Linked DNA regions of Canis lupus familiaris. The protein of the gene in region 3 purifies or fractionates together with the protein of the main gene of each other region. This does not show direct contact. Links are inferred from orthologs where the notes say so. Each region holds a gene or a part of one and is shown on either strand. Other genes may lie near its edges.

Region 1 (4,976 bases), about 69 Mb from region 3:
TGGGTGGTTTAGCGGTTGAGCGGCTGCCTTCGGCTCAGGGCATGATCCTGGATCTGGGGATGGAGTCCCGCATGGGGCTCCCTGCATGGAGCCTGCTTCTCCCTCCGCCTGTGTCTCTGCCTCTCTCTCTGTGTCTCTCATAAATATATAAATAAAATCTTAGAAAAGAAAATCTGACAAACAAAAACCTGTTTACGAAACCACCAAGGCATATTATGAACCCTAGTAGCAAGGTGATGGTGTTAGGGAGTCACTGGTAGTCACCGGGAGTCACATTTTTCAGATTGCGAACAGTGAAGCAGTGATATCAAAGCATAGGAAGAGGTCTCACATTTAAAGATACAAATGGAAACATCTCCAGATAAAATGATGTGATGGCTACTTTAAAACAGTCAGGGAGGTGGGCCGGTTGGTGGAGGAAGAGCTGAATCAAGAGCCACTGTGTCCTGAAAATTGTGGGAGCAGGGTGAGGCTCCATGAGGGCTCACCATTTACTCTTTTGTGCATATCTGAAATTTTCCCTGACACGTTAAACAAAGTGCACGTCAGGAAGACCGCATTATGTCACATAGGTAAATACAAACATATGAGATAAAATCAAACTAAGAACAAAAGAATAAACAGACAAACCACAGATAAACAACAAAATGGGGGCAGCCGGGGTAGCTCAGCGATTTAGCGCCACCTTTGGCCCAGGGCATGATCCTGGAGATCTGGGATCGAGTCCACATTGGGCTCCTGCGTGGAGCCTGCTTCTCCCTCTACCTGTGTCTCTGCCTCTCTGTGTGTCTCTCTCACGAATAAATAAATTAAATCTTAAAAACAAAAAAAAAACCCAAAACCAAAATGGGATGCTAAACCCAAAGTCCAGGATGGTGGTTACCACAATGGAGAGGGGCGAGGGGCCGGGCTGGGGTGGAACACACAAAGGGAGGAAGTTACAGAGAGGATGGGAAGGTGAATTAGGGGGTGTCACAAGGTAAAAAGGAAAGAGAGACAAAGGGGGTGGGTGGGTGGGAAAGACTGGAGAGTGAGCCTTGGCAGAGAGGTAGGCTGGCTCCTTCTCACCTTGCTGTCAGAGTCCACACGCTCATCCACAGAGTAGGAGTCGTAGTAGAGGCTGAAGTCATCCCCCACCACTGTCTCCCACTCCTCCAGGGACCCTGGGTCCCCTTTCTCCATGGTCACTTCTCCTGAACCCCGTGCAGAACCCAACTCCTCCGACTAGGAAAAGATCAGAAAAATGGAAGCTGCTGGTACTTCCCTTCCCAACCATTTCCCTTGAGGGCAGGATGCAGCCCCCCCCAGGTGGAGAGGCCTTGTCTTCAGCCTCTCTAGGCTCACCAGGCCACCTCCAGAGTTCAGCTTCCTCCTTTTGGCCACATCTGGAAGGAGAGAGAGAAAGGAATAAGGCTGGTTCTTCGACCCTCCGGACAAGATTTATCAGGTGGCAGGTGGGTGGGGTGTGGGGGTGGCGCTGACCTGAGGTCATCTTCCCCAGCGAGTGCAAGTCATCACTCATGCGGAAATGCTGCACTTCAGGGGGCCGCTTCTCTGGGACAGGAGGCTAGTGGCAGAGAGGGAGCACACTTTAGGGTCAGGGAGCATTTGCATTCAGTCAAGGGTGAGCCACACCCTCAAAAATGTCACCTGAAGCTCCAGTAAGCCAGAATGTGGCAATCACAAGAAGTGCTGTCTCTCGAGAAGAAGGGTATGAGGCACATTCCACACCTAACACTCACCTTTTCACTCACCCGAAGGAGCGGGCCCTCTTTACCCATTTTACAGATGAGAAAATAGGTTTGTGCCTTGCCCAAAGCTACCTAAACCATACCCAAACCCCCAAAAACACTGTCACAAAGCTTCTGAAATTCTGGGGCTTTTTGTCCTTTCCCTCACCCTCCTTCCCTGTAGGGAGTCACAGTAAAATCCTTAGAAGCCCTTTGAAAAAGGAAGCAGGGGGAGTTTCAAAGGGAGGGAAAAAGCTCCCTTGGGGCTTGCTTTGAGGTAGAAAGCAAGTTAGAAGTTCCTTAGTCATTATCATAAGAATAATTGGGACAATTAACTACAACAGTAATCCTCTAACCTTTTTTTATTTTTAAAGATTTTACTTATTTATTCCTGAGAGACAAAAAGAGGCAGCAACAGAGGCAGAGAAGCAGGCTCCCTGATGTGGGACTAGATCCAGGATCATGACCCGAGCCAGATGCTTAAACCACTGAACCACCCAAGTGCCCCTCTAACCTTTTTTACAACTCCCCTCTCCCCAAGAATATAAACTTGTCTGTCTGTTCAGATCAAGCCCAGCCCAGAATCTGACACACAGTAGCCCCTAGGTAAGTATGGCGAGCCCTGAAGGGATGAGAAAAAGTCTGAAGCTAAACTGTAAAAAAAAAAAAAAAAAAAAAAAAAAAAAGTCCACAAGGGGTACACAGTGGGTTACCTGGGTCTCCCCACCTCCACCCCTCCCCCTCATTCTCACCTGCCCATTTCCTGGTTTGGACATGGTTTTTCTGGCTCGGTGGACCTTGGGCTGCCCCTCTGGGCTGGGTGTGGCTGCAGGGGGTTCAGGCCCCGCTGCTGCCCCCTGGGCTCCCGGCATACTCAGCAGCCGCATAGCCAAACTCTGGACTGAGGGGGGTGATTTTGCTGCGCCTGTCATTGACATCTTGGCGCGGCTGGGACAGGCACCCCCCTTGCTGGGGGAAGAGGGGAATGACTTTGTGGCATGGCCTGGAAGACAAATAGGCAGACAGAAACAAGGTAAGACGAGAGGTAATCAGAGGATACCCCCCCTCTGCCCCCCAGGCCCCTGACTCCCCAGCCTCTCACCCAGCAGGATTCGGCTCCCGTGGAGGTCCCCATCTCCCTCCAGATTCTCAGGTTCATCCCCAATGAGCGGTGTGGCTCCTAGGGGGGTGTCAGCCCCCTCATCACCCACGGTGACTGTGACAGAGGCTGGGGATGAGGGGCCAGCAGGCTCCAGGGAGTCAGGGCTGGACTTGGGCAGGGTCTCCTCACCACGAGGGGTGTCCCCCAAAGAGCCGTGAACTGTAAGGGGAAAGAAAAAGTTCAGGGCTAAGGTCTCGGGGAATCCTGTGTTGGGGGAGGTGAAGGTCCAGCTGGGCCTGTTCAGCCGCACTCACCTCTCTCAGAGGCTCCTCTGGGCTCCTTCTCCAGCACCAGCGCCCCCATCTCAGCAGGGGCCTCCCCCTGGCAGGGGACACAAGGTATAGGAGGGCTGGTCAGCCCGCTAGGAAGTTGGGGAGCCCAGGACGCCTGGGCTCTGGGAAGAGAGAGTAGGCTCCGGGGCCTACCTCTTCCTCGATGGGGGCCCCCCCGTCCGCGGCCTCGGCTGCCCTGGGGGGCCGCACGACCCCTCCCCCGGGCCCGCATCAGCCCCCTCCCTCTCGGCAGACCCCGCATCTCTGGGGCCTGGAAAAGAGGAGGGGGAGGGGGCGGGGCCTCTGCGCCCCGGCCCCGCCCCCTCCTCCCGGCTGCACGCGCCGCTCCCCCTTTGTCCCCCAGGCCGCGGGGACCCCGGGCACCAACCCCTCCAGCGCCCGCCGCTCCCCAGCCCGGCGGACGGCCCCTCGTGCCCCTCGCGCGCGCTCCTGGGGCCCCGGCTCCCGCTGCCCACTCGGGGGCAGCCGGCGGCTGCACGCGCGCCTCCGTGCCCACTCCCCCCACCTCCCACCCCCTGGTCCCCTCATCCGCCCCCGGTGCTGGCCCTCCGGATTGCTGTAGGTCTCGTCCGGGCCCCCCGGCCCCGTTGCACCCCCGGAGCATTGCACGGGCGCGCGCTTCCCCCGGGCGCGCGCGCGGGCATGCACCCGCCTCTCCCCCTCCCCTTCCGCACCTCGGCGGCCGCCGCCGCTGCAGCTCCCGCCGCCGCCGCCATCGCCGCTTGCGCGGGGGGCCGAGCCGGCGCGCGGCCGCCCCGGGTCACGTGGGCGGGGAGGGGGGGCGAGGAGGGGCCTTAAAGGAGCCACGGCGCGCTTTCTGGCCATCTCCCCCCACGCCGGGAGCGGCCTCGGCGGTGGCAGCGGCTGCCCTAAGCTGGGGGCTTCGGGGGCGCGTTCCCGCCGCTGCGGGCGTCGGCTGCGCGGGGAGCCGAAGGCGAGGCACGCCTGGCCGGGGTGGCCCCTCCGTGCCCCGCCTGTCCGTAGGTAACGAGAGCGGCGTCTGAGCGTCCCGGCTCGCGGCGGCTATCTTCCCGAGGAGGCCCGCGTCTGCTTCTCCCGCCTCGGTGCGCTCTAGTTTCTGGGTCTCCGGGTAGCAAGTGTCGGCCTCGCTTCTCCCCCGAGCAGGAAGGGGGCAGCGGGAACGCATGGAGGACACCGGTGCTCTCGACTGCTTCGTACCGGCAGGAGCAGCGTCCTCTCCTGAACCCGGGGCTCAGGGTCCCTTCTGTTTGAGCCGGGTATGCTAAGGCACCAAGTGCACCGGGGACCTGAGTAACCCCCAGAGGCTCCACAGTCATCACCGCCTGCTGAGTACACTATACTAAGGAGCCTTTTTTTGGTCGCAAGCCTAGGCATTCCGTGGGTCATAAGCCCAGTTGACAGAGGAAGTATGAATGATATTACACCGAGATAAAAACCTTGATAGCATTATTTAGGGTACCATCCCTTTGGGTATTATATTCTGGTCAAAGTTTGGAAAAAACCCTGTAAGATCTCACGCGCAGTATTTGGTAGAGGTCCGTGGTTTGGCTCCAGGGCACCTGAGGCCAATTCAAGGCCTTCTGGGAACTGTAGTTCTCTTTGGTTAAGAACTATTCAGAGCTTTGTGGGACTTGTAGTCTTCCCCATGCCCTAATCCAAACTTTTTTTTTTTTTTTTTTTTCTGGCTTTCCCAGGACATGAACCCTTTTCTCAGAACATAAATGCCCAAACATAGGCTCCTGCTTAAAATTTTGGTGGGTATAATGATCACCTTTATAGTTCATCCCTAGCACTGATACCAAACTCTCG
Region 2 (4,842 bases), on a different chromosome or scaffold from region 3:
AATCCTCTGACCCCCCATCCGCTCCCTAACGCTGGGCGGATTCACCCATCTGGGGAAGACCAAAGCACCGATTTCAAAGGGTTGTTCTGAGGCTGGCGATCACTGGTTGAGGCCCAGCACGCGCCGGGCACACAGTGGGCGCTCGTCCCGCGTGGGCCGGGCCGGGCCGGGCGGGCCGGGCGGGCTTGCATTCATTCAGCTGCCGCTTTTTCTCTGAAAATGCCCCTTACAGTTTGCCGGCCCCTCCCGGTTCTGTGCGCGCGCGCGCGGTTTTTAAAACTTCGTTTACGGGGCAGCCCGGGCGGGGGTGGGGGGTGGCTCACCAGCGCGTGACCCCGGGGTCCCGGGTTCGAGTCCCGCGTCGGGTCCCCGCGTGGAGCCTGCTTCTCCCTCTGCCTGGGTCTCTGCGTCTCTCTCTCTCTGTGTCTCTCATGAATAAATAAATAAAATATTAAATACAATCCTGACTTAAAAAAAGATGAAAGTTCATTTACTCCCGAGGGACACCCGGAGAGGGCGATGCTCGGACGCGGGACGGCGGGCGGCGCCTGCGGGGGGCACCGGGGGCCGCGGCGGGCGGGCGCTCAGGTCCTCACCGGCTCTGCCCCCGGCCCCGTCTGCGCGCGCAGGTCCCGGAGGGCGGCCGTGCTTCGCCCCGCGCGTCCCGCCGTCTCCCGGCGTCGCCAGCGTTCGCGGCCCGGGGGGCTCCGCAGACGGTTGTTTTTGTTTTGGCGGATCCGGCGGGGCGGATTGGGCGGGAGCGGGAGCGGGGGCGGGGCGGGGAGGGGCGAGGGGGCGGGGCGGGGAGCGGAGGGCGGTCGGGGACGGGGGGACGGGGAGACGGGGAGAAGGGGAGAGGGGGTCGCAGCGCGGAGGGGGCGGGGACGCGGGGGAGGCTCGGCGGGGGCGAGCCGGAGGTCGCGGGGCGGTGGGAGGGCGCGGACGCGGGTCGCGGGGGGGCGGCGCGGAGGGGGCGGGGAGGGGCGGGGAGGGGAGGGGGCGCGGCGGGGCGGGGCGGAGGCGGCGGGAGGGCGCGGCGCGCGGCGGGGTGTCGCGGGGCGGGGGGGCGCGGCGGGGCGTGCCCCCGGGGTGCGCTCGCTAGATACGGCGCCGCCGCCGCCCGCCGCCGGAGCGGGGCCCAGGGCGGCGGGGGTCGGGCCCGCGCCGGGAGAGGCGAGCGCGTCCCGGGGGCCGCGGGGGTGCAGGCCCCGCCCGCCGCGCGCCCGCCGCCGCCCCGCGCCCCCGGAGCGCCCCGTCCGTCCCGCCGCCGGCGGCCCCGGAGCTCGCGGACGTGACGCCGCGGGCGGAAGTGACGTTTTCGCGCGGCTGGCCCGGCGCTCGGTGGGCGGCGGGAGGAGGGCTCGTGGGCTCCGCCGGGCGCCGCTCCCCGGGTCTGCGCGCAGCGGGGCGGCCCCGAGGTGCGCCCCCCGCCCCGCCCCGCCCCGCCCCGCCGCGCCGCGCCGCGCCGCGCCCCGCCCCGCCGCCGGCCCGCGGACAGCCATGCCGCCCAAAGCCCCCCGGAGGGCCGCCGCCGCCGCCGCCGAAGCCCCGCCGCCGCCGCCGCCGCCGCCGCCGCCCGAGGAGGACCCGGCGCAGGACAGCGGCCCCGACGACCCGCCTCTGCCCGGGTGAGCCCAGAGCGGCGGGGGCGGGCGCGGGCGCGGGCGGGGGCCGGGGCGGGCGCGGTGTCGGCGGGGGCCGGGCGCCGGCTTGACAGGTGTCGGGCGGGGGGGGGTCGGGCGCCCGCGCCCGGTGACAGGTGCCGCCGCCGCGCCCGCGGACACGGAGCCGGCGGCCGACGCGGCGGGGGACGGGCGGCCTCCCGCGGACACGGCGGCGGCGACGCGGCTCCAGGCCTCGGCACCGGGCAAGCCCCGCGACGCGCCCCGCTGGAGCGCCGCTGCCTGCCTCCGCTCCCTCTCCGTGGTCCCCCTGCACAGCCTCGGTATCCGTCTTCGGCGCTTTGCAGCGCTTCTTCCATTTTGCCTTCCAGCCCGGACACATCCTCGCGCCTGCTCTTGTTTTGTTTCGCTTGGGCTGCAGAGTTCGTGAGCTGCCCGTGCTCACAGCACACTTCTCCCCCCCCCCCCCCCCCCCAGCACCAGCACCGCCACCAGCACCAGCACCAGCACCACCAGCACCAGCACCAGCACCACCCGCACCACCACCAGCGCCACCACCAGCACCAGCACCACCAAGTGGTCTCTAAATTTAGGCGACTACTGTGATAATACAGTAGAACGTGACAGGGAGGACTTATTCTGTTGCAGCATCCTATTTTTCACGATCGTGGTACTTTATGGTTAAGAACCTAAGACTGAAAGACTATGATTGCCATTATTTTTGCCAGTCCTGGTTCCACCACTCTGAGAGTACCTGTTTTTTGTTTTGTTTTGTTTTGTTTTGTTTGAGAATGGGATTGCTTTCTTTTCCTCACCGCTTCCTCACCTGTTCTAGTCCATTACTAAGCCCTATTCTTTGAACTTGCTAGACACTAACAGGGTTCAGATAGATTGTGAACGATTGGAATGGGCTTCTGGGATGGCCTGTGAAAAGCTGTTAAAAATACATATGTTGAAATGGGTTGTCTTACAGGTCAGTTAAAAATCACACTCGCTAATTGGGGGGAAAAACAGTCAAGCTGTTCTGAAAGCAAATTTAATTTCTGATTAAGCTCTGTTGTGTCCAGTACTTGAACGTTTTCATTTGGAAAAAGCAGTAAATCTACTCTATAAAGAGTTCCATGTTTACCACGGAGCTTTGGAAGCGTCCTCTGGATTATTGTAGGGTAACCAGAAATATTCAAATTAGGGCCCCCACCTGGGAAAAGAAGGCCTTTCTTCCCCACCCCAACATTGCATTATTTACTTTTAAATGATGGAACTATAAAAAATTTTCCTGTAAGTAAAACCATACAGGATACACTCCACTCTTGATTAACCATACCCCCCGAAAGGTTTTGCTAGTACGGGCAGTTGAACTGTGTAGACTAGCTGCTTAGCAAGGGTGAAACTAGTGCCTGGCAATCCAAAGCCAAGCGTCCTGCTTAGGGATGGATTCAGGGCCCGCTCCACCTGCATTTTCAGTGATGGAATCTGTCTGTACCTTGAAGCTGAGATCTTCTCTCTGTTGCATTATATCTGGCCTAAGTGGGAATGTTGGAAGGGAAACCTTCACTAGGAGCAAGAGTGCACCCTCCTTGTTGACATGATCAAAGTTAATTACGCTCTGAAGGAGGTTTACCAGTCTGGCATAGTGGTCAAGGGCATGGATCATGGAGTTAGACTTGGGTTTCCCACTTACTGGCCATGTCCTCAAGTGAGTCCTTTAACTTCTTATTTGGTACTTGTCTGTAAAACAAGGATAAGAGTACTTATCTAGTAGGCCCATGTGTGGATTCCACTGAAACTATACATTTAAGATACTTTATTCACACAGGCTCAGAGTAAATACTCAAAAATTATTAGCTATTCCTTATATTATTATTAGGTGTCAAATAGACATTAAGAGAATGAAAGGGAGCTAGCCAACAAGAAACTATTGACTACCTATCTTGGGTAAGGAAGATCGAAGAGAAAAGGCTGAAATAAGAATAGCAGGAATTCATGTTAAGTTTCTTATTACGTGAGAAATGCTTATAGGTAGAGAGATTATATGAGACGTTGATAAGCGTAGACTGCATTTTAGCAAAATTGCTGATACTAAATTGATTCTGCAATATCATAAATGGGCTTTCTTCTTTTTGCTCTTATTGTCATCCCGCTTTTCCCATACAGCGTTAGCTATCATACTTACTTACTTTTCCAAAGCTATTTTGCTGTTCTGGTGTGTATGTGATTCAGGCCAACAAACATCTTTCACTGTGTTGTATATTTGTTGGAAGGACTATGAAAAAAATAAACATTTAAATTCTGTAATTTTTTTTCAAAGATAAATAAGATTTTAAAGTACTTAGTAATGCCTTTTTTCAGAATAATGATGTTTGTTATATGCAAACCATTGAAGCAAATGTTTACTTTTAGTTTGATTTCTAAATATATCCCCATTATATGTCTGTTTTTATCTGGTAGGCTTGTGTTTGAAGAAACCGAAGAACCCGATTTTACTGCATTATGTCAGAAATTAAAGATACCAGATCATGTCAGAGAAAGAGCTTGGTTAACTTGGGAGAAAGTTTCATCTGTGGATGGAGTATTGGTAAGGATTTCTTTAACATTTTTTGAAGAAAACTTTCTCATTATTTTTTAAAAAAGATTTTATGTATTTGATAAACAGAAAGAGAGCCTGAACATGGGGAGGGGTAGAGGGAAAGGAAGACAGAGAATCTCAAGGAGATTCTCTGCTGAGCACAGAGCCCCATGTAGGGCTCGATCTGAGGACCCTGAGATATGACCTGAGCCAAAACCAAGAGTCAAATGCTCAACTGACTGAGCCACTCAAGTGCCCCCCAATTTTCTCAATTAAAAAATGATTTTGAATTACTATAGATAACTTGGAAAATAGAAAAATATAAAGAAAAGAAAAGCTAGTAATAATTTTGTTACCCAGAGGTAAATAACTCTGATAGTGTTAAAAATATCCCCACGTAACCCCCCAAAGTATTTTTCCCCCAAAGTACTTTGAAGCAAATCTTAGATATCATATGCATACGTACTTCACTCAGATGCAAAAATTTTTTAAAAACAAAGCCATACCTTATAATTTTTAATATCTTACAATATGTAGTGTTCAAAATTTGATTGTTTTAGAATTAGAATTAGTTTTGCTAGAATTTACAGTCTTTGATAGCGTTTGATATATTCCATTTTTTTGCATAAGTATATGTATGTATATGTAATATGA
Region 3 (4,395 bases):
GTCTTCTCCAACATTAACTGTGAAAGACGGATTTCAGTTACAATCCATTCTACGAATTAATGAAGTTTTTTCTTACAAAAACTATTCCTTACAAATATTTTTATATGATGTAATCACGGATCACACATCACAGTATAAATCTAAAGTTTGCTATTTAAAAATATAATTAATCATTTTATCCAAGGTAATTTCAAGGGTTATATGTAAAACATCACCACCAAATCCTACCAGGATAATTTGTAGAAAATCTCAGCTCTATTATCAGAAGATCAATAGCCACCAAAATATAAAAGGTATTTGAATTATTTAAATTAAAACACGCACTTAAATATTAGGCATTTCTCCTAAAACATACAACAAATTAATCAAGGTTCTAAAAAACTTAAAAAACTTTAATTCCTTTATGATTTACTTTTTCTAAAACTCCTTAAATGCACAGAACATCCATAACTTTGAAATATATTTTAGTGAGTACTAAAAAGACAAAGCAGCTGGCTGCCTACCCAATCTTAAAGGATGGTAAGAATTAACTAGGTTCGGAGCAGCCAAGACATAGAAGGAAGGGGTAAAGCACAAGGAAACAACACGGGTACATGACACATTGCAATATATTTAGTTCCTCAGTACTGACAGGATTAAAGGGACATATTATTTATGTACATGACCCATTCGCAGCCTCTTCCCACCCCAATTATAACCTCTTCAAAAATAAGGGTAATTATTTTACATAGCTTTGTATACCTTTAGTTTATTAGCATGATAATGAACAGCTTTTAGTTTCTTACTATTTAAATATAATCATAATCTTAATATAATTCAGTATTATGTATTAAATCAATCCTGTTAATTCATTTGCCCTATCTACACAGGACTTTTAATCTAAGCCTGAACCTGTATCCAAAAAAAAGGTATAAAAAATATGTTCTACATGCATTATAGCATTTTATTGAGTAAATGAAATAATCTAAGGTAGAAATGGGTACAAAGTTCTATGAATGTATAACTTATCAAGCCACTACACCTAATTTAGTATCTGAAATTGTTCTTCTCAAAAAAAATCACTGAAGTGATTTTAAAATCATTGTTATTTAAACATTTTACAGCAAATATTGCTTTTTTTTAAAAGATTTTATTTATTTATTCATGAGAGAACAGAACTGCTGATGAGAATGAACTTCAGTATCATGCTTTAAAAAAAAAAACTGTTTCAATCATTTTAAGACATTTCTCATTCCACTTTCAAGCCAGGCAACCGCTAATAACAAAACACGTATCTATAAAAGAGAGTATCACGTAGAAGAAAATCAAAATCAAAATCACGTAGAAGAAGCTTCACTAACAAATGGAACAGATTATGTATTAACAATCCAGATTAACTAAAACACACAAAGAGAGGTAAGAGATCCGTACATACACCAAGCTAAGGCCAATCCAAGTAGACTTTTTTTTTTTTAAAAAGGCAGGGAAGTAAGGTCTCCCCACCAATACCCATCATCCCCAAGGTAACATGGGACCAAAACAAAGACTAGAGGAACATCCAGACAGCTCTTGGGCCGTCTGGCAGATGGATATCTTAATTATCCTTATTCCCAAGAGCTCAGGCTTCGGGTAGATTTTGTTTTGGGTTTTACGATTTTCTTTCCTTCTTTCTGGGAGAGAAAGTGCTCAGGTCCGCGTGAGGGCGCACCCACAAGCAGGGGGAGAGAGGGACCTGACTGTGCTGGGTGCGGAGGCCGACGCAAGCCTCGAGCTCAGCATCAGTGAGTCAACTGAGCTACCCAGGCGCCTGGTTTTTTTTGTTGTTTTTTTTAAAGCAGTTTTAGTATTTTTAATTTTTACATTGACTTTTCAAACCAGTAATTAACTAAGGAAGTATCTTCCTCAGGCGGAACACCTACATGTGGATATTCTAATGATATGCTTCTAGAAAATACTCACTGATCCTTAGTAAGATTAACATAGACTTTTAACATAGAAACGTACATCTCTGCATCTGCTTACTATACTCAGACATGTTATCTGGTCTTATTGAACGTAGAAATTTGATGTACTCATCACTGTGGTATTTTGTCATTTCTTCAGCAGTGGCTTTGTGGGGCCTCTGTGAAGAAAAACAAATGTCAGAATGGTGGAGCCACAACTGGTTACATCAGAGTCATCAAACACCACGTACACAATTTCCCCTAACAATCCTCTCAGAAGAACTAGCTCTGCCAGAAAATAAATTCCAAAGTGAATCCAAATTTATACGTGTATTTCTTAGAAATGAGTAATCAATTCCAAAGCTAATTCCTACTCCTTTAAAGCCATTAGACAGGTCTGACCCCAATTATACATTCCTTTTATTGCAGTGGAAATGGGTCAATGCTTATAAAGTTGAATCTGTTCAGGAACTCTCACTTTCCATCATAAACCGTCTGCTCTGTATCAAGTGAGACTGAGACTCAAGCTCAATTTTAAGTCTTTGTTCACAATCTCTTCCTTTCCTTTGCCTATCCTAATTATCCTTATTCCCAAGAGCTCAATTTCATTTTTAACACACTTTTCCCAGGAGGCTTCCAGAAAGTATATAATCCAACCCCTCCTTTCCTGTAAATATTTGTTATCTGAAAAAAGTAACTCATATATACTCAATACTAGTAACTGTTTCAAGTCTTTCTTTTCTCCCCAAACAGGCAAGAACTGTGTCTTGCATTTGTTTACATATACTTCCACATTAGTGCAAAAGCACTTAAGGTAGGTGTATCCTAAATGTTAGCTGTACTGTACACATCCACTAATACACTGCTCCATATGTCAGTAAGTATTTGTAGAATTTCCTACATAATTCTTCTGTAATAGTCAACTCTTCAGCAGCACAGCCAAGTAAACCACTATTGCAACAAAGATATTTAGTTTGCTAAACTGAGTTGTTGGCCAAAATGTGAAAAGGTGGGATATGAGAAACTTTTGAAAAATGGTCGAGTAAGAGGGTTAAAAACCATTCCCACACTGTTTTCTCTGAAGATTAAAACAAAAAGAGTTTGTTTTCTTCCAGAGTTTGTTTTCATCTGCTAAACGCCATTTAAGGGGATTAATAATTTCAAAGTAGATTAAAAAAAAAAAAAACAACACTGAATATTTACCAAAAGGTATACTTACGTATATTTCCATTTTTCTATATAAGCCATAATTTAGCAGCAAGTTATGGGTCATGCGGATTCTATGAGGTTTCATGGGATGACCCTGTCCATAATAGTAATTTCCAATATCACCTAAAATAGAAAAAAGACAACTGAATAGAGAATCTTTACAGTCTAAATTTATGTGTGTTCATCATCACAAGGCACTTACCACCTAATCAAGATTTAAAACTTGAAATGATCTCAGATCTTTCAATTTTCAAACTGTACTAGAAAGCCAAGATACTGGGTTACGTTAACTGTGGTAACTTCATTAATACACGTTTATTAGAGATTAAAAGCAAGCAAGCTTTTCAGATTTTCAGTTTGCCAAAATTTATTTAGGATTAGCCCTAATAAAATACTTATAACAGTAGTTTTAGTTACTTAAATTTGAAAATTAATTTTTTGTATTTATGGACAAATTCAGACGCCTAAAGCAAATTCTGAGTTTCATTGTTATTTAAACATTTTACAGCAAATATTGCTTTTTTTTTAAAAGATTTTATTTATTTATTCATGAGAGAGAGAGAGAGAGAGGCAGAGACACAGGCAGAGGGAGAAGCAGGCTCCACGCAGGAAGCCTGACGTGGGTCGCGATCCGGGGTCTCCAGGATCACACCCTGGGTTGAAGGCAGGCGCTAAACCGCTGAGCCACCTGGGCTGCCCGCAAATATTGCTTCTTGATATTTACTGGCATCCCAGAAATATTTTACAGTTGGCATTACGGGAGTTAAAATGTTCTACATATCCATATTACAGTCTATAAATTTTTGCTAAATAAAATTTAGGTCCTAAATAAAGTTTTGCTCTAATAAGACATACTTGTGACATTTTTTTTAAGATAGTAAGAATATTTTTGTCTCCTTCTTCATGATTAAAAGTCGTTAAGTGCCAGCCTATCTGTCACATCTTATGTACCAATGTATTAATACTCATGCATTAAGATTTAATTCAAAATGAACAGACATAACACCAAAACCACAAATTTTCATCTATTGAATTTCAATGAAATCAATACTTTTGGGTACAGATCCAGTGTTTTTATAATAAACAAAGGTTACCTTGGGGTTAAGGAAACCCCTAAAAACATACTATTTTTAAAATGTAACAAGCACCTTTTGCAACAGCTTGTATTAAATTAGAAGTCACTTTTAGTATTAATTCTAGTCTTTAAATAAGTAAGTCCGAAATTTTATTAGGACAGTCAAGTTGATTTTAATGGCTCAAAGTC
Region 4 (4,843 bases), on a different chromosome or scaffold from region 3:
AGCCGAGAGGAGGAGTTGAAGAGGCATGGAAACAACCTCCGTACAAGTGTATGACCCCAGTAGGATAAGGAATAGAACACCAGAGACAGTGTTCTATTCCCAGGGCTGAGATTCACACATACAAGTACATGTACATATTTTTCACCCATAACTTCCTCCTTCATCTCTCCCCCTCCCCCATCAGTGAGCTATATAAACTTGGTAAATGGCAGTTACAAGAAATTTTTTGTTCTAATTGAAAATATTGTAAAAGACAAGTAGAAGCAATCTGCTTTGTAATTTTACTTGTGCAGTGGTTTTTGGTTTTTTGTTTTTTTAAGATAAACAGTCAATTTGTTTTGGCACTGTGGGGCTAGAGGGATAATTCATAAAAAAGGCTTATCAACCCCTAAGTTTGTCTAAAAGTAACAATGCCTCTCACAAACATAATTTTATGCTTTTACATTTTAATCAGCTTAAGAAAGCACAAAACCTAAAACACTTTTAAGACATTAAAACTATTCACATCCCTCTACAGTATAGTTTGAAGCACTAAAGTTACAAATACAGTATTTAACAATACAGCTTAACAGTAGCTTCACTTTTAGTGCCTAGACATACTAAGAATTTCCTGCAGACTATGCCAAATATCAGACTTTTTTGTCTACAGTGACCAATCAAAATAGTACTCCATAAATCAATTTCTATAATCCACCTCAAAAGAAACCAAGAATGACTGAGAGAGCTTTTTGTTATTTTAATGTGAACACATCTACACGTTTAACACAATTCAAACAGATAAAATTCACAATTAACAGTCTTAAAAATTGGGTCCAGTTAATTCGTATTAAGCCCTCCTACAACACACTGACCAGGTCCTCTTTCCTGCCCCCAGACAAACTAAAAACACTACAAACAGAATTCCCACCACATCTTACCAGACCAGTAATCGTAATAAAAATGAAAATACAGCTTTGCCAACCAAATTCAACTGTAAGGGCAGTAGACGTTAACAGGCAGGTAAACACAATTCCTTCCATGTACTTTTGTTTCCAACGCTAGTATTTCATATTCAATTTCAAAAACCAAAGTACCATCTGAGTAATAACTTCACCAATTTCAACGGTCGCTAAATGAATGTAGGTTTCACTTACTCCACTTACGAAGAATTCCCGCAAATTTAAGTCGTCTGCAAAAACTAAAATCCAACAACTTCGAATGGCCCCCCAAAAAACCACTCACAGTGTTCACTGCTGCATTACAAAAGGGTAATCTCCAAAGAATAAACCTTCATGCCTCCCCCGCGTTTTGAGGTTTTTTATTTTTTTGGGGGGGAGGGGTCTTTTTTAGCAATTTACGCCTTAAATCACTTAAGATCTAGTTAAGTTCCAGCAGGAAAAGCCCCAGGTTCAAAAAAATACTAGGAACTAAAGACACTGCCTTCTGTAGTTGATACTATCTATGGCCGATAGGGCTGTGCTTGAAAATTTTGTAGTGTGCAGCGAAGGAGTTTTTCGGCACTGATATGAATTGCTCAAACATCCATTTTGGAGTCCTCTACCCCCGCCCTCTCTGACTTCATTTTGTAGTGAATTCGGATCGAGGCGCCGCAGTGACAATCTAGAGAAAGCCCGGGCCGGCCTCCGATCCGCTCGGGCACGCCAAGGAGCCCGAGAGGGCGCCCCGGCCGCACCGCGGAAGGCGCGGGCCCGGGGAGGCCCGGCGGGCGGGAAGCCGGGCGGGAGGCCGGGCAGGCCCGGGATGGCGGGCGCAGGGCCTCGGCGGGGGCGGGCCGCGCGCGCGAGACTTACCGCTCCGGCGGCGGCGGCGGCGGCGGGGGCCCCGGCTGCGGCAGCCGCCTCCTCCTCGTCGTCGCCCGGCGATGGCGGCCCTATCTTGCTGCAGGTAGCGGCCAGCAGGGCGAGCGGTGACGGCTGAGTGTCCTACCCCCGATGGGCGGGTTCAGAGAGGGAGACAGGGGGAGGGGGTGGCGGTTAGGGCCGGGCCGCCGCTCGCACAGGAAGTGCGCCTGGGTCCTCGCAGGCTGAGCCCGGGCCAGCGCCAGCCCGCGCTCTCCTCCTCCTCCTCCTCCTCCTCCTCCTCCTCCTCGGCTCGGGCTCGCGTCCTCCCGCTCGCACGCACACCGGCTCCGCCGTCCGCGGGAGGGAAGGCGGGCGGCGGGCTGCGCGCCGGGCCCCCACCTTCCGCCCGGAACCCACCCCCGGGAGGGCGCACACGCTCACACTCGCGCGCACACACTCACACACACACACACACACACGCTCACAAAAAGGCGGCGGGCGGGGGAGCGCGGGCGGGGTCGGAGCGTTGGCGCCTCGGGCGGGCAGCTCCCGGGGCGGGGGGAGGGGAGGAGAGAGAGAGCGAGGCGCGGAGGGAGGGGAGAGGCGAGGGGAGGAGAAAGCGGCGCTGGGGGGAGCCGGGCCGGGGCTCAGCCGCTCCTCACCTGGGCCGCCGCCGCCGCCGCCGCCGCCGCCGCCGCCGCGCCGTTTCCGTGCTGCTGCTGCTGCTGCTGCTGCTGCAGATACTCGCCGTGGCCGCCGCCGCTGCCGCCGCCGCCGCCGCTGTCCACGTCCAAGGCAGCCATTTCCTCTTGTTTCACGGGCTTTTCGGGAGCTGCAGGCACAGCGCGGGGGGGGGTGGGGGTGGGGAGGAAGGCGGGTGGAGGAGAGGGAGGGGGCCCGCGGGCCGCGGCGGAATTACTCGGAAAGCCCGGGCCGCGTCCCCTTCCCCTCCCCCACCCGCCCCCCGGCGGCGGCGGCGGCGGCTCCCTCCTCCCCTCCCGCGGCTGCCCCCGCCCGCCGCTGCCTGTAACCCTCCTCCTCCTCCTCTTTCCCTCCTCCTCCTCCTCCCCGCGCTGCCCCTGCCCCCTCTCCTCTCCTCTCCTCCCCTTTCCCTCCGCGCCGCTCGCTCTCACTCGCGCTCGCTCCTCTCGCACCGTCAGTCACTCACACGCGCCCGCCCGCCGCCCGCGCCCGCACGCGGGGGGATGCGCTCCCGGCGGGCCCGGCCGCCCGCCCCGGGGCCCGGCGGGGACACGGCGCTGCTGGGGCTGCGGGGGGCACGCTGGCTGGCCGGGAGGGCAGGGAGGCGGCGGGGGAGTGCGGCTCTGCCTCTCACGGACACTCGTCGCGCACACGGGCCGGGAGCCGGCGGCGGCAAGGGCTGGCTGTGGTCGGCGGCGGCGGCGGCAAGGGCTGCTCTCGGCTCTACGTACCGGTCATAGTGTGTTTAGGGCACCTCAGGCGGGGCTCCCCGCCGCCTTACACATGGTGAGGAGCGAAGGCGGCGGCGGCGGGAGAGGATGCGGGAAGCGGCGGCGGACACGGCCGGAGCGGTCCGGGGATTTTTTTTTCCTATTTTGATTGACTGTGCGGGAAACACAAAAGGTGGAGCCTCCAGCCCAAAAGGGGGGAAGAGGGTGACAGCCCGCCCGGAAGTCCCGCCTCTCTTCTCCGCGCCCATTCGCCGCCGCGCTCCCGGTCGGCCGCGCTCATTGGCCCGCATGCCCGTCCGTCGCGCGGGCAGCCGGCGCGCTTCCTGTTTGCCCCCGGGTGGAAGGGGAGAGACAATAAGCGGCCGCGGCGGCGCAGGTTCCCGAGAGCGGCCGCGGCTCCGCCGTTCCCCCGCGGCGCCCGCCTGGCTCGCCGGCCGCCGCGGTCGGGCCCGGGACGCAGGCCTCCTCCGCCTCGCGGGTGCCTGGAGCGGGGCCCGGCCGGGAGTCCAGCCCCGGCGGCCGCGGCTCCCCTCGACGCGTCCTCCATCCCGACGGCAGCCCGCGCCGGTCTCCCCAGGGCCCCGCGCCCGCCGAGCCGCCGCTTCCCCGCGCTGCCCGGAGGCCGCCGCTCAGCCCCGGGGCTGCTCCTGCCGCCGCCGCCGCCGCCGCCGCCCGGCTCCGAGCAGAGCCGAGCCGAGCCGCGCAGACCCGCCCCGCGAGCCCGGGGGGAGGGAGCTGGCCTGGGGGAGACACCCCCTCCAGGAGGGGAGGCCGGAGGAGGACTCTCCCTCCGCGCCGTCCGCCCTGCGCTTCCCAGCCCGAGCCGCCGCGCGCCCGGCCCCGGCCCCGGCCCCGGCCCCGGCCCGGGGGCAGGCGAGTGCGCGAGGAGCCCGGGGCTGGGCCCGCCGGGGCTCGGCCCGCCCCACTCCCCGGGGACACCCTCCGGCCCGGCCCGACGCCCCCGGAACCGGCCTTCGCGCTGTTTCTTTCACTTAGTACGTGGCAAGTGCCTGTGTTCCACGGGGTACAAATTCTTTTTTTTTTTTTTTTAAATCCGCCCAAATCATTTTTGCTGCACCGAGGGGGGCACTTGGTGGGATGAGCCCTGGGCGTTGTTCTATATGTTGGCAAATTGAACACCAATAAAAAATAAATTTATTTTTAAAAACTCATTTTTGTTGCTTAAACATACATTATTCTCCGCTTCCCTGATGGTCTGGGTTACAGGTCAACCTCTGAAAAAGCCCATTTAAAAAAAAAAAAAAATGAAAAAGCCCATTAACAGCCAACATTTTTTTTTTTAAATAGGGATTCTCAGCGAAGTTATGTTATTTGTTTTGGGGTTTGGTTTTTTTTTTTTTTTTTTTGGTTTTTTTTTTGGTTTTTTTTTCCTCCTCGGGACATTTTAGTTAACTCTCTAATTTAAAACCTCATTGCACATATTGGATTAGTTGGTTAGTTTAGCACTCCTTTCCATCCTTGACATCGTGCTGTCAATCTGGGAGGAAGGCTCAGGCTGTGTGAGCCATGTTTTGTCAAGAGACATTTAAAAAAAATTTTTTAAAATAAACATTTCTATTACCTTTAGATCTAATTGCCAAAAAAAAAAAAAAAAGTGGCATTTGTGAC

What was found. Proteins that work in one complex are often made in the same cells at the same time.
Region 1: the proteins of HDAC2 (region 3) and EHMT2 purify together in Homo sapiens (co-immunoprecipitation; 4 studies listed by BioGRID and IntAct, with this or other methods). This does not show direct contact. The link is inferred for Canis lupus familiaris from reciprocal best matches to the Homo sapiens genes HDAC2 and EHMT2.
Region 2: the proteins of HDAC2 (region 3) and RB1 purify together in Homo sapiens (affinity purification with western blotting; 4 studies listed by BioGRID and IntAct, with this or other methods). This does not show direct contact. The link is inferred for Canis lupus familiaris from reciprocal best matches to the Homo sapiens genes HDAC2 and RB1.
Region 4: the proteins of HDAC2 (region 3) and SP3 purify together in Homo sapiens (affinity purification with western blotting; 3 studies listed by BioGRID). This does not show direct contact. The link is inferred for Canis lupus familiaris from reciprocal best matches to the Homo sapiens genes HDAC2 and SP3.

Annotation. Positions count from the first base shown.
Region 1 is NC_049233.1:1,483,936-1,488,911, forward strand, and holds the start of EHMT2 (histone-lysine N-methyltransferase EHMT2), read right to left. Parts: upstream 3,442-4,976; 5' UTR 3,427-3,441; coding exon 3,147-3,426; intron 3,052-3,146; coding exon 2,833-3,051; intron 2,734-2,832; coding exon 2,483-2,733; intron 1,568-2,482; coding exon 1,483-1,567; intron 1,386-1,482; coding exon 1,345-1,385; intron 1,225-1,344; coding exon 1,069-1,224; intron 1-1,068. UniProt on the Homo sapiens protein: Histone methyltransferase that specifically mono- and dimethylates 'Lys-9' of histone H3 (H3K9me1 and H3K9me2, respectively) in euchromatin.
Region 2 is NC_049243.1:3,170,786-3,175,627, reverse strand, and holds the start of RB1 (retinoblastoma-associated protein), read left to right. Parts: upstream 1-1,401; 5' UTR 1,402-1,500; coding exon 1,501-1,628; intron 1,629-2,456; exon of another isoform or gene 2,457-3,350; intron 3,351-3,799; exon of another isoform or gene 3,800-3,885; intron 3,886-4,070; coding exon 4,071-4,197; intron 4,198-4,842. UniProt on the Homo sapiens protein: Tumor suppressor that is a key regulator of the G1/S transition of the cell cycle. The hypophosphorylated form binds transcription regulators of the E2F family, preventing transcription of E2F-responsive genes.
Region 3 is NC_049233.1:70,470,326-70,474,720, forward strand, and holds part of HDAC2 (histone deacetylase 2), read right to left. Parts: intron 3,255-4,395; coding exon 3,142-3,254; intron 2,102-3,141; coding exon 1,984-2,101; intron 18-1,983; coding exon 1-17. UniProt on the Homo sapiens protein: Histone deacetylase that catalyzes the deacetylation of lysine residues on the N-terminal part of the core histones (H2A, H2B, H3 and H4).
Region 4 is NC_049257.1:18,388,500-18,393,342, forward strand, and holds the start of SP3 (transcription factor Sp3), read right to left. Parts: upstream 3,442-4,843; 5' UTR 3,222-3,441; coding exon 3,215-3,221; intron 2,614-3,214; coding exon 2,444-2,613; intron 1,923-2,443; coding exon 1,791-1,922; intron 1-1,790. UniProt on the Homo sapiens protein: Transcriptional factor that can act as an activator or repressor depending on isoform and/or post-translational modifications. Binds to GT and GC boxes promoter elements. Competes with SP1 for the GC-box promoters.